Arabidopsis thaliana: one gene and its partner. The protein of the gene in region 2 interacts with the protein of the main gene of each other region in a pairwise test. Each region holds a gene or a part of one and is shown on either strand. Other genes may lie near its edges. The genes, in order: AT3G56370 and AMT1;3.

Region 1 (6,778 bases), about 12 Mb from region 2:
TATTAATGACATGAAAAAATGTGTATAGAAAGATGAATTATTTTTTTCTCCAACCTAGTTATAAACCGAAGAATTGATCGGTAATATAATAATAAGCTGTATATGGAAAAAGAAAAAAATTATAAATGGAAAATGTCCCTTAAGTAACTTATTTTTTCAGGTTCCATTTCAAATGGAAAAAAAAAGTGTTAGCATATTTGGCTTAGAAAGTCAAAACGTTAGATGCCATCTCACTTTAATGCTATCATGTACAATATTGAAATGGATTTTTAACTTATGAGTTAAAATGTCAAAATGTTGCAAATTACCGAGGCTAGACAACGTAGATTGTAGTACTAATTTCGTCTTTCCCAACTCCAAGAGAGAAAAACGTGGTCTGTTTCAGACAAGGCATGCTCCATTCCTCTTTTATCGGCCATTGAAACTAGGGTTCTTCTGTTAAAAATGTACTTATATTATCCCTCAAAAAGATACTAATGAATAATGTATTTTAATTACAGATTCTTGAGACGTTTCTTCGATTCCCATAATCCAATAAAAGATCAGACCCATTAAATTGTTGAGTTTTCACAGAGTCCCATGCACATGGTTACAACAAATGAAGCTTCTTAAGTTATTTTATACTCTCTTTGTTCAGAGAGCATCATCACACGAAGTCACTAAGTTTTATCTTGATTCTTGTTTTTCTCAACCCTAAGTTTTTATTTGTCTCACAAGAAAGCTCTTATCTTCTACGACTGCTAAAAGATGGTTCAGAACCTGAAATGAAGACTACAGGCTTTCTTTCATAATAATACTTAAGATTTCATCGAAAGAGTCCCATATTATGGAACCCGGTGAAGACAAATCCGATACAGCCCTAAAAATGTTACAAGAACAATAAATAGAAGAAGCTACAAACATTGAAATTGAAACTAACAGACACAAAAGATAACACATAAGAGATTATCAAAAAACAAACACAAACAAGGATTTCTCTTAAAACCCCCAAATGAACAAACCGGATTCCTCTTCGCCGGAACTTGGTGAAAAAACATGTTAGTCTTTAACCTTCTTTTCAACTTGAACCCAACTCATCTGAGCTCCCTGAAGGGCATCTGATCATCCTCAATATGTTAACAGCTTCTCCCATATGTGGTCTACTTGATGGAACCTGAGAAGTGCAAATAAGCCCTAGCTTTATCACTGCAACCGCTTCTTCTACCGGAAACTTCCCTTGCAGCCTTGGGTCAATACATTCATCTGCTCTTCCATCTTCAAGAGCTTCTCTCACCATATCACACAAAACCACAACATCATCTTCCATATACTCCACAGGCTTTTTACCTGTAACCACTTCAAGGACCAAGACTCCAAATCCATAAACATCACATTTCTCTGTTATTTTCACCGTTCTACAAGCAAACTCTGGAGCCATGTATCCCAACGCACTCTGTATCTTGCTACTCAGCACGTACCTATCTAGCATAGGTAACAGCCTCGCTAATCCGTAGTCTCCTACTTTAGGCTCACCAGAGCTGTCTAGCAACACGTTGCTCGATTTGATGTTGTAGTGGATGATGTTTGATTGGTGCAAGTAAGCTAAGCATTTCGCTGTACCAAGGATAATGTTGAACCGATCATTCCAAGAAAGCGAACTATTACCTCCTGGTGCTTCGTGCAACTGTTTGTATAAACTCCCACCAGAGAGAAACTCATAGATCAGAAGCTGGAGAGAAGTTGTCCAGTAATATCCTTCGAGTTTAACCAGATTCGAATGCCTGAGTTTTCCAAGTTTCTTCACCTCTCTTTCGAATTCGTCCTGAGACTTGACAAGACTCGAGACAGTGAGCTTCTTGATAGCTACAGGATACCCATCTCTGATAACTGTTCTGTACACCGCTCCAAATCCACCTCGACCAAGCTCACAGTCTTTGTTAAGCAGAGCATGTGTTCCAGTGCTGAAATCAGGTTCACCAGAGAACATCACCAGCTTCCCTGAGTTGCTATCAGTAGTGGGAGATCGACTGAAGTCATCTCCGCCTGAGAACGTGAGCGGTACTGCTGATCTTGAAACCGTTGATGCGCGCACTCTCAGATTAAGTACCGTGATGGCTATTACACCAACCACAATGGCTGCAGCAGCACTAATGGCTATCAAAGAAGATATACTAAGCAGTATCCTTTTGTGACCAGCACCTGGAGGCACTATTTCACCATTGTAAGGATCGAAAGTTGCATTAGGATTCAACACAATCGGTTTAGGGGAGATGGCAGGACAAGACTTATTGACAACAGCACCGCAAATTCCCGGGTTTCCTGATACTGAACTTGGGGATAAACCGTTGAAGATTCCACCTGCAGGTAGTTCCCCAAAGAGATGGTTATGAGATATGTTGAATGTGTGAAGATAGCCGAGATTAGCCAACTGTTTAGGAAGTGTTCCGGCCAGTTCATTAAATGATAAGTCGACTTCTTCGAGTCTTGTAAGTTTAGCGAGCTCTGGTGGAATTGAGCCTAGCAGCTTGTTATGTGACAGGATCCTGTAGAAAGAAGCATGAAACAGAACACAGTTAAGACATAATCTTCAATGGGAAAATCTTAACAGAATGCAACCTAAAGCAAAAGAGACTTACAAAGACCGAAGGGAACTGCAATTCTTGATGGAAGATGGAATATTTCCCTCCAACAAGTTATTTTCAAGTCTCAACTCCTCCAAAGAAACAGCTCCACCTGTTTCTCGAGGAATCATTCCATTGAGCTGATTGTGACTCACATCAAGGACGCTCAAGTGCTTTAGTTCCCCAATGGTACTGGGGATGGGGCCGGTAAGAGAGTTTCTGGACAGATGCAATCCCTCCAGGTCTCTAAGATCTCCTAGACCAGCTCCAATCTCGCCAGAGAATGCATTGTGGGAGAGATCCAAAACCTGGATCTTCTTGATACCTCCAGTAGAGTTATCATTCTTTAATGCAGACACATCACGAGAACCATCTTGAAATAGCCACATGGGAAGCTTTCCAGTTAGTGAATTCCCACTTAAATCTAAGGCCAAGAGGTTGATACAGTTGGCTGTTGAGACCGGCAAGCTACCAATAAGCCCATTCCCAGAAAAGTTGAGAACTTTCAGTGCTAGAAGGTTGCCTATGGAGTCTGGAACCTGCCCTGAAAACTTATTCATGGAAAGATCCAAAGTCTCAAGACTCCTCATTTCTCCTATCCACTTTGGAACTTCACCTTCTAACGCATTCTTTCCCAAGTTCAGAGAATAACACAAACTGAGCTGCTGAAATGTATTTGGTAAGCTTCCTGATAGAGAGTTTTCACTAAGATCAATAGTCTTCAGCAGCATACAGCTCCCAATTTCGCTAGGAATAGGACCAGATAACCGGTTTCTACTCAAATCAAGCGCACGCAAGTTGTTCAATCTATCTATCTTCTCTGGAAACTCTCCCTCTAACTCATTCCTCGACAAATCAAGTGATCTTAGAGTGTTCAAAGACCAAATCCCCAAAGGCATAGAACCAGAAAAACCATTGGAAGACAAGTTTAAAGCAGCAAGAGACGAGCACGAGCTTATACTAACCGGAATCTTCCCCGTTAGTTTGTTCTTCGCCAGAGATAAAACTCTTAATGACCCACATTGCCTGAAAAACTCATCAGGAAGCGAACCAGACAAGCCATTGCTACTCAAGTCAACAACCTTAAGGTTAACAAGGCTCAGCAGCATATTAGGGTTAATGATTCCCGTGAGATTGTTGTTGGACAGAGAGAGCTTATGAAGAAACTGAAGCTGAAGTAGGCCACGACCAATTCGACCAGACAGAGAGAAGCCATCTAGATTTAACTCAGTGACTCGATTCGTCCTCGGATGGCATTTGACTCCGTTCCAACTACAAGGAGTGTAGTCATCTTCGTTCCAAGAAGCTAGCTTTTGCTCTGGATCTCGTAAATCGGCTTTGAAGACAATGAGCCCTAAAACGTCGTCGTTTAAAGGCGGGTCTAGAGATCTCACCGGAGCTACTGCCGACACCAACAAGACTGTAAAAATCAGTGCTTTGTACATCTTTCCACAACCCTCTTCTCCGTTGAACAGATTTTAGTTGCGGAAGACCTCCATTTTCAGTTATGTAGAGCTGAAATTAGAAAGAAGAAAATTGGTGAACACAAGAGAAAAAAAAAAACAGTACATCTCAAAACAAAAACTTTGTTTGTTCGTATTCTTAGGCGTTAGATTTAGTAGAAGAAAAGAACAAAAATCTATCTCAACGGCTACATTTCGGCCAACGGAGGAAGCAAAACAAAGCAAAAAACAATGAAGAAAAATCCGGTAAAACAAAGGCTAGTTATATGAATAGAAGTAGCTACAGTTTACTTGAAATTCATAGAAATTGAAGAAATATTCAACCTTCAAGTGAATGGCTGAAGTAAATGTTGAGCAAAATAACTTGAGTTTTTTTAAGTAAAGGAGTCATTGGACAGTTACGATCTGGAAATGAGGAATTCTCACCTAGTAAGAATTTTCTCCGGGAAGATTTCCGACGAAGAATGTTGCAGCTCAGGGGGAAAAAAAACACCGTAGGAAAAGAAAGTGAGAGAGCACGAGCTTCTTCTTCTTCTTCAACTTTGTTAGGTTTTGTAGCTTTAAAAGAAGAGTGAATTTGGGAAGAAGAGAAAAAAGCCAATAAAGAAAAAAAAAGAGAGCAGAGAGAGTAATTAAAAGCTGCCTTTATCAACGGGCTGGAAAGAAGAGAGTGTGGGGCCCGAGGAAGGTGGGTGGACTCATTAAAACTCTTTAATTGACACGTGTATTTATTTTGTTGGGTTTGACGAATCCGACTTGGCTGACACGTGGCTTTTATTTTTATTTTGTGTTGGTATAGTAAGTGGGAAAATGAATAAATGATTGGCCAACTCATAAAGAAAGAAACTATAAATTTGAATATGACTAAATTATCCTTCCCAAATAATAGAAACTTTCTTTAATGGGTTTACATGCTGCTCTGTGGCCTCTTGGTATGATTCAACTAATTAGAAAATAATCTTTCACATAAAATGGAAATAATGTGGAATGTGGTTGGTTCTGTTATTCTCATGCAGAGAATTGGTATTTTGGGTAAAAAATTATGCAGAAAGAGACAGTGGTTAAAGTGGTCACCATAGTTTTGGTTTTTCATTTTTTTATTTTGATTCTCTATTTTGTTTTTTGAAGTAAGAACATTAAAGTAAGTTGGTGAGGAATGATGATGGTGTCCTGGAAAAAATATTTTGTGGTGCTTAGAGATCATTAATAATTGCAACCATAATGTTATTGTTCATTTATGTACAATGTCCTGGTCAGTAGTCAATGCATCAAACTTATTAATTATGGGTTTACAAATTTTCTTGAAAAATTATGGGGTTTTGAAATTGGATCACAAACCTAAGGATTTTGGTTGACTTGGAGGAGCTACAGATGTAAATTTTGGATCTTCTGTTTGTGCAAGGAATCATACATTATGTAAACTTTTCCTACAGATTGAAATGCGGTTGAATAACTAAGTGTCAAACACTTATTGCCATAAAATAAAACATTAAAAAAAACAGATAATAGAACAAATGATGTTGAAAAAAATATTATAATCCGTTAAGCATGCTCTTGGAATTTTTTTAATTGTTGTCTTTCTCGTTTGAGATTTGGTCCGAGTCAAGACATTTTATCAGACTTCGGTCTCTCTCCCATACCTATGTTTTAAAATTTTATATTCCTTTTGACAGTAAAAGTTATTTATTATGAAATAAACAATGAAAAATAACTCTTTTCCCCATGGAAGGAAAACAACCCTTCATGGAAATTTTGGAATTTACTATTTGTTTCTATTTGCAATTTAACAAAGAGGCCTTTTTTACTTTTTAATGTATTCTAAAAATATAGGGTCAAATTTACTACTGTTTTTAAGAGCTTTCGAGGAATTTTTTGGGCAGTGTGAGCCGGACCGTAGCGAATTCACATTTACTGTTCTTCGCTTTCCATCTATATGAAGAATTTACCCTTTGTTTGTTTTCTACAGTTAGTATTTATTTCCACATTCAATTTTTACTCGAATCTTCCTCTGTCATATCAGGATTGGCATTTAGGACCAGCCATTAAAAGGTAAAATATTTACTTTCCGGTGATGTAAAATTCCAAATTTTCTTATATTTATTTAATTATTGATTACTTACAGTTTCATTTTTTATTCCATGGTAAATAACTACGGATAAGATGGGTCCAACTCTTCCATTAGAGGCCCATTAATGAGAAACGATAAATGGGCTCAGATAATAATAAGGCTTATCAAAGTTCTACAGTCCGAATTATATTTCAGGAAAGAAAACAAATTGAACTAAAGAAATGCGACTCGCAGCTACTTATAACGCGTTACAAGGCTGGCCCATGCAACTATGCAGCTATCATATCGGTCAAAGATTTCGTATTAAAATTTGAGGTTTTCACGATAATTAAAATTGACAAATAATAATATACACATCGAACAAGCCCATAGTTTAAAAATTCAAATACTAAAAATGATAATATATCTTAAATTTTAGAGAATCATGGGGACTTCGTAACTGAGATTCTGATACAGATTTGTGATCCATTTTGAAAATTAAATATGATTATAAATTTGCATCTTCATTATACGCACGATTAGAAAAGCCAAACAAATGGGAAATTAAAAATTAATATTTGGATTTTCGTTATCATCGTACAAGATCACAAAGCACTGTCACTGACATAAAACACCAAGTTTCTTACCAGTTTCCAGAGAATCAAATA
Region 2 (4,454 bases):
CTGGAAACAATAGATTTGAATGGTACTACTTAGAATCCAGCAGGGTTCTTTAAAGTCATCATGAAGCAATGCAAAGTCTACCACTCTTGGCGTAATTGTTTTTTGGCACAAAAGTTAATGCAAAAGTCTTGATTATCGCAATTTTTCTTATGATGCCTTTGGTTTCTAACATCAGAGGATAAAAAAAGAATTTCACGAACAAAAATTGTGAATTTTGATATGCATAGAGGCGAGCTATAGACTCCCTAACGTGCTATTGCGTCGAGCCGTGGTGCTTACCTAGTTACACAGTATAACAAGCCTGCTTTAGTTTTATTTCATAAACCAATATAATGTAAATCACTTACTATGGCTTTTCGTATTTAGTAAACAATTTTACATTTATAATTTTCAGTTGACCTAAATTAAAAAATATGTACTACAATTAATCAATAGTTACTACGTATTACTAAAGAATCAATATTTGTTATGTGGTAATCAATGATGTCACGTCAATTCTTGACATTATTTTGTACGATTTAGAAAGCTACCGTCTACTAAAATATGTGCATAATTTAACGTTCATTATTTTAGAAAACAGTTTGCTTTGTCTATTTTTCTGAGTGTCAACTCTCATTTACAACTCATCAGTAAATATATAGATAACAAGTCACAAGTGTCTCCCATAATGATTAAGTTAGGTTGACTTAAAACATGATTAAGGTCAGACACACACACACATACATATATAGAAAGCTTTCAGTTTTTAGAACTAGTTAGTGACAATAAAAAGCCTATTGGTGAAACATCAGCACTTGTAACAACTTTTAAGTATATTTATTCAAATACATCATAATAGATTTTTGATCAAAAGAGATCATCATGTTCCTAAAAGTAATACTTGACTTGAATTTTCATGGCTTGGCACAAACTGAGAGATAAATGTCTTTTTTCAATCATTAAATATCTTAAAATATATATATATATATATATATATATATATCTTAAACATGAATGTTTTTGTTTTGGTATAAACGTGAATTATTCATGAACTGTTAATAGGTTTCAATGTCAATTGGATCGAATTATTGTATATATCTCTTGCTTGAAACTATATGTCGTGTGTCTTCATTTTTTTGTTTTCCTAATTGAATACTTTATACATGCATGTAGTATTATTATACAAAACCAAGATAATTTTTTTTAATGCTTCTGTTGATGATCTGAGTAATTTTGGACATATCTAAGAGTTAAGGGTGTAAAGTGCAATTTTCAGCAAATAAAACGTGGTTCCCGCTAACCCATGTTATCATTTTTGGTTTCAACCTTCAGCAAACTTAATTAATATTTGGTTATGAACTTTATTAAAATTTTGCAAGATTATCATAAGATTGTCGTATAAAGAGTGCTGAATCTTGACTTAATTTCATAAAACTGCTGATCTAAAATCGACATCTATGTAGTAAGTTCTGATCGGTTTGCTTGAACATATACGGTTGAGCTAGGACAATTATTCTTTGATTTATTACTTTAAATACTAGTATCAATTTTATTCACAAATTTATTTTTGTAATTTTTTTATACAAGCCTTTAATTTACCTTTTTTTTATTCACACATTACATGGCAATCACTTAATCACCAAAAACCGTATAGGATTAGGATCGTAATTTGCAAGTTATTAAGAAGATTTGGCAGATTACATCTCTAATTCAATAATGTTGTTACGTCACATAACTTCTTAAATAATTGATAAACTCTCTTAAATACGAACTTAATTGGTCTAGCCGGAATCTAAAGTCAACCCTAAACTCCTCCTTCTTCCTTTTAAGAGACACACAAGAGACAACCTTTCTTCTCCGTATCTCTCTTTCTCTCTCTCAGCTCTCTCAAACATGTCAGGAGCAATAACATGCTCTGCGGCCGATCTCGCCACCCTACTTGGCCCCAACGCCACGGCGGCGGCCGACTACATTTGCGGCCAATTAGGCACCGTTAACAACAAGTTCACCGATGCAGCCTTCGCCATAGACAACACCTACCTCCTCTTCTCTGCCTACCTTGTCTTCGCCATGCAGCTCGGCTTCGCTATGCTTTGTGCTGGTTCTGTTAGAGCCAAGAATACGATGAACATCATGCTTACCAATGTCCTTGACGCTGCAGCCGGAGGACTCTTCTACTATCTCTTTGGTTACGCCTTTGCCTTTGGAGGATCCTCCGAAGGGTTCATTGGAAGACACAACTTTGCTCTTAGAGACTTTCCGACTCCCACAGCTGATTACTCTTTCTTCCTCTACCAATGGGCGTTCGCAATCGCGGCCGCTGGAATCACAAGTGGTTCGATCGCAGAGAGGACTCAGTTCGTGGCTTACTTGATATACTCTTCTTTCTTAACCGGATTTGTTTACCCGGTTGTCTCTCACTGGTTTTGGTCCCCGGATGGATGGGCCAGTCCCTTTCGTTCAGCGGATGATCGTTTGTTTAGCACCGGAGCCATTGACTTTGCTGGCTCCGGTGTTGTTCACATGGTTGGTGGCATAGCAGGTTTATGGGGTGCTCTTATTGAAGGTCCTCGTCGTGGTCGGTTCGAGAAAGGTGGTCGCGCTATTGCTCTGCGCGGCCACTCTGCCTCGCTAGTAGTCTTAGGAACCTTCCTCCTATGGTTTGGATGGTATGGTTTCAACCCCGGTTCCTTCACTAAGATACTCGTTCCGTATAATTCTGGTTCCAACTACGGCCAATGGAGCGGAATCGGCCGTACAGCGGTTAACACCACACTCTCAGGATGCACAGCAGCTCTAACCACACTCTTTGGTAAACGTCTCCTATCAGGCCACTGGAACGTAACGGACGTTTGCAACGGGTTACTCGGTGGGTTTGCGGCCATAACCGCAGGTTGCTCCGTCGTAGAGCCATGGGCAGCGATTGTGTGCGGCTTCATGGCTTCTGTCGTCCTTATCGGATGCAACAAGCTCGCGGAGCTTGTACAATATGATGATCCACTCGAGGCAGCCCAACTACATGGAGGGTGTGGCGCGTGGGGGTTGATATTCGTAGGATTGTTTGCCAAAGAGAAGTATCTAAACGAGGTTTATGGCGCCACCCCGGGAAGGCCATATGGACTATTTATGGGCGGAGGAGGGAAGCTGTTGGGAGCACAATTGGTTCAAATACTTGTGATTGTAGGATGGGTTAGTGCCACAATGGGAACACTCTTCTTCATCCTCAAAAGGCTCAATCTGCTTAGGATCTCGGAGCAGCATGAAATGCAAGGGATGGATATGACACGTCACGGTGGCTTTGCTTATATCTACCATGATAATGATGATGAGTCTCATAGAGTGGATCCTGGATCTCCTTTCCCTCGATCAGCTACTCCTCCTCGCGTTTAATTTTCAACTTTTTGGTAATTTATTACCGTTTAAGTATTGTTTGGGTTTTGGTTTTGAAATATAAATATTTGGATGTTTTGGTTTGTTTTAAGTGACCTATCGTCTTTTTGTGTTTATAAGTGTTTTAGTTTATGTTTTTTTTTTTTTTCTTGAATTTTAATTTTACATGCCTCGGCTAATGTTTATGCTATTTCTTAGAAATTTATATATACAACTTTTGGTGATCCAAAAAGGAGAGTTATGCATATACTGTATACAACTTTGCTTAGGTTTTTGTTCTGCCGACGGCATTAGGAAATTGGAGTACACAAAAGTTGTTCTTAGAATAATATAAATTCTGAAAAATCATTTGTGTACCATTTCGTACCAAAAGCAGAACTTAGTCATTCCCTTATGTACACGTAAAGCGATTTTTTCCAATTAGTTAACTAGCCACGCTTAGGTACACGTAGATATTATCTTTTACTTGAACGATGTTGGTTAATAAATAATACTAGAAGAAATATGACATGTCATTACATCTATGTAACTGGTCACTTGTTTAGAACTATTGAACTAAGCCTAATGGGTTTTATTAGCCTAACAATTGTTGCTATTAATCGTACAAACTAAAATTAAAATATAAATCAAATTCTTGCGTCCTCGATAACTTTAAACAAAGGAGTATGACCCATATTTTGTGGTTGATAAATTTTAGCACCTAATATTTCAATAGTATTTTTTATTTATTTCAAATTCTGCTAAACAAAAATTTTTATAACATATATTCCTTGTTTGTATACACTTTCGAGACCTGTAGAATCATGGAATTACGATGCAATTCCAGTAGCTTATACCTTGCACATCATCTTTTTGTGCATATTAGTCGTCAAACTGTATTTAAATATTCTCAAACGTATATTTCATATGTCACCCAAACAAAGACAGAACATTGTACAAGAATTTTGATTACCTTTAACGGGTCGTAGTAAGAAAAAATATTAAAATAATTACGAACCAGTTAAATATTCTTGCCCGTATAGTTTAGACTTAGAGTTTTATTTTATTTTAATTATCTATCGGTAATCCGACATTTTACCACCCAA

What was found.
Region 1: the proteins of AMT1;3 (region 2) and AT3G56370 interact in a protein complementation assay, tested with the Arabidopsis thaliana proteins (one large-scale study listed by BioGRID).

The regions. Positions count from the first base shown.
Region 1 is NC_003074.8:20,898,346-20,905,123, forward strand, and holds AT3G56370 (Leucine-rich repeat protein kinase family protein), read right to left. Parts: upstream 4,736-6,778; 5' UTR 4,490-4,735; intron 4,116-4,489; 5' UTR 4,046-4,115; coding exon 2,616-4,045; intron 2,523-2,615; coding exon 1,058-2,522; 3' UTR 754-1,057; downstream 1-753.
Region 2 is NC_003074.8:8,804,773-8,809,226, reverse strand, and holds AMT1;3 (ammonium transporter 1;3), read left to right. Parts: upstream 1-1,766; 5' UTR 1,767-1,872; coding exon 1,873-3,369; 3' UTR 3,370-3,708; downstream 3,709-4,454.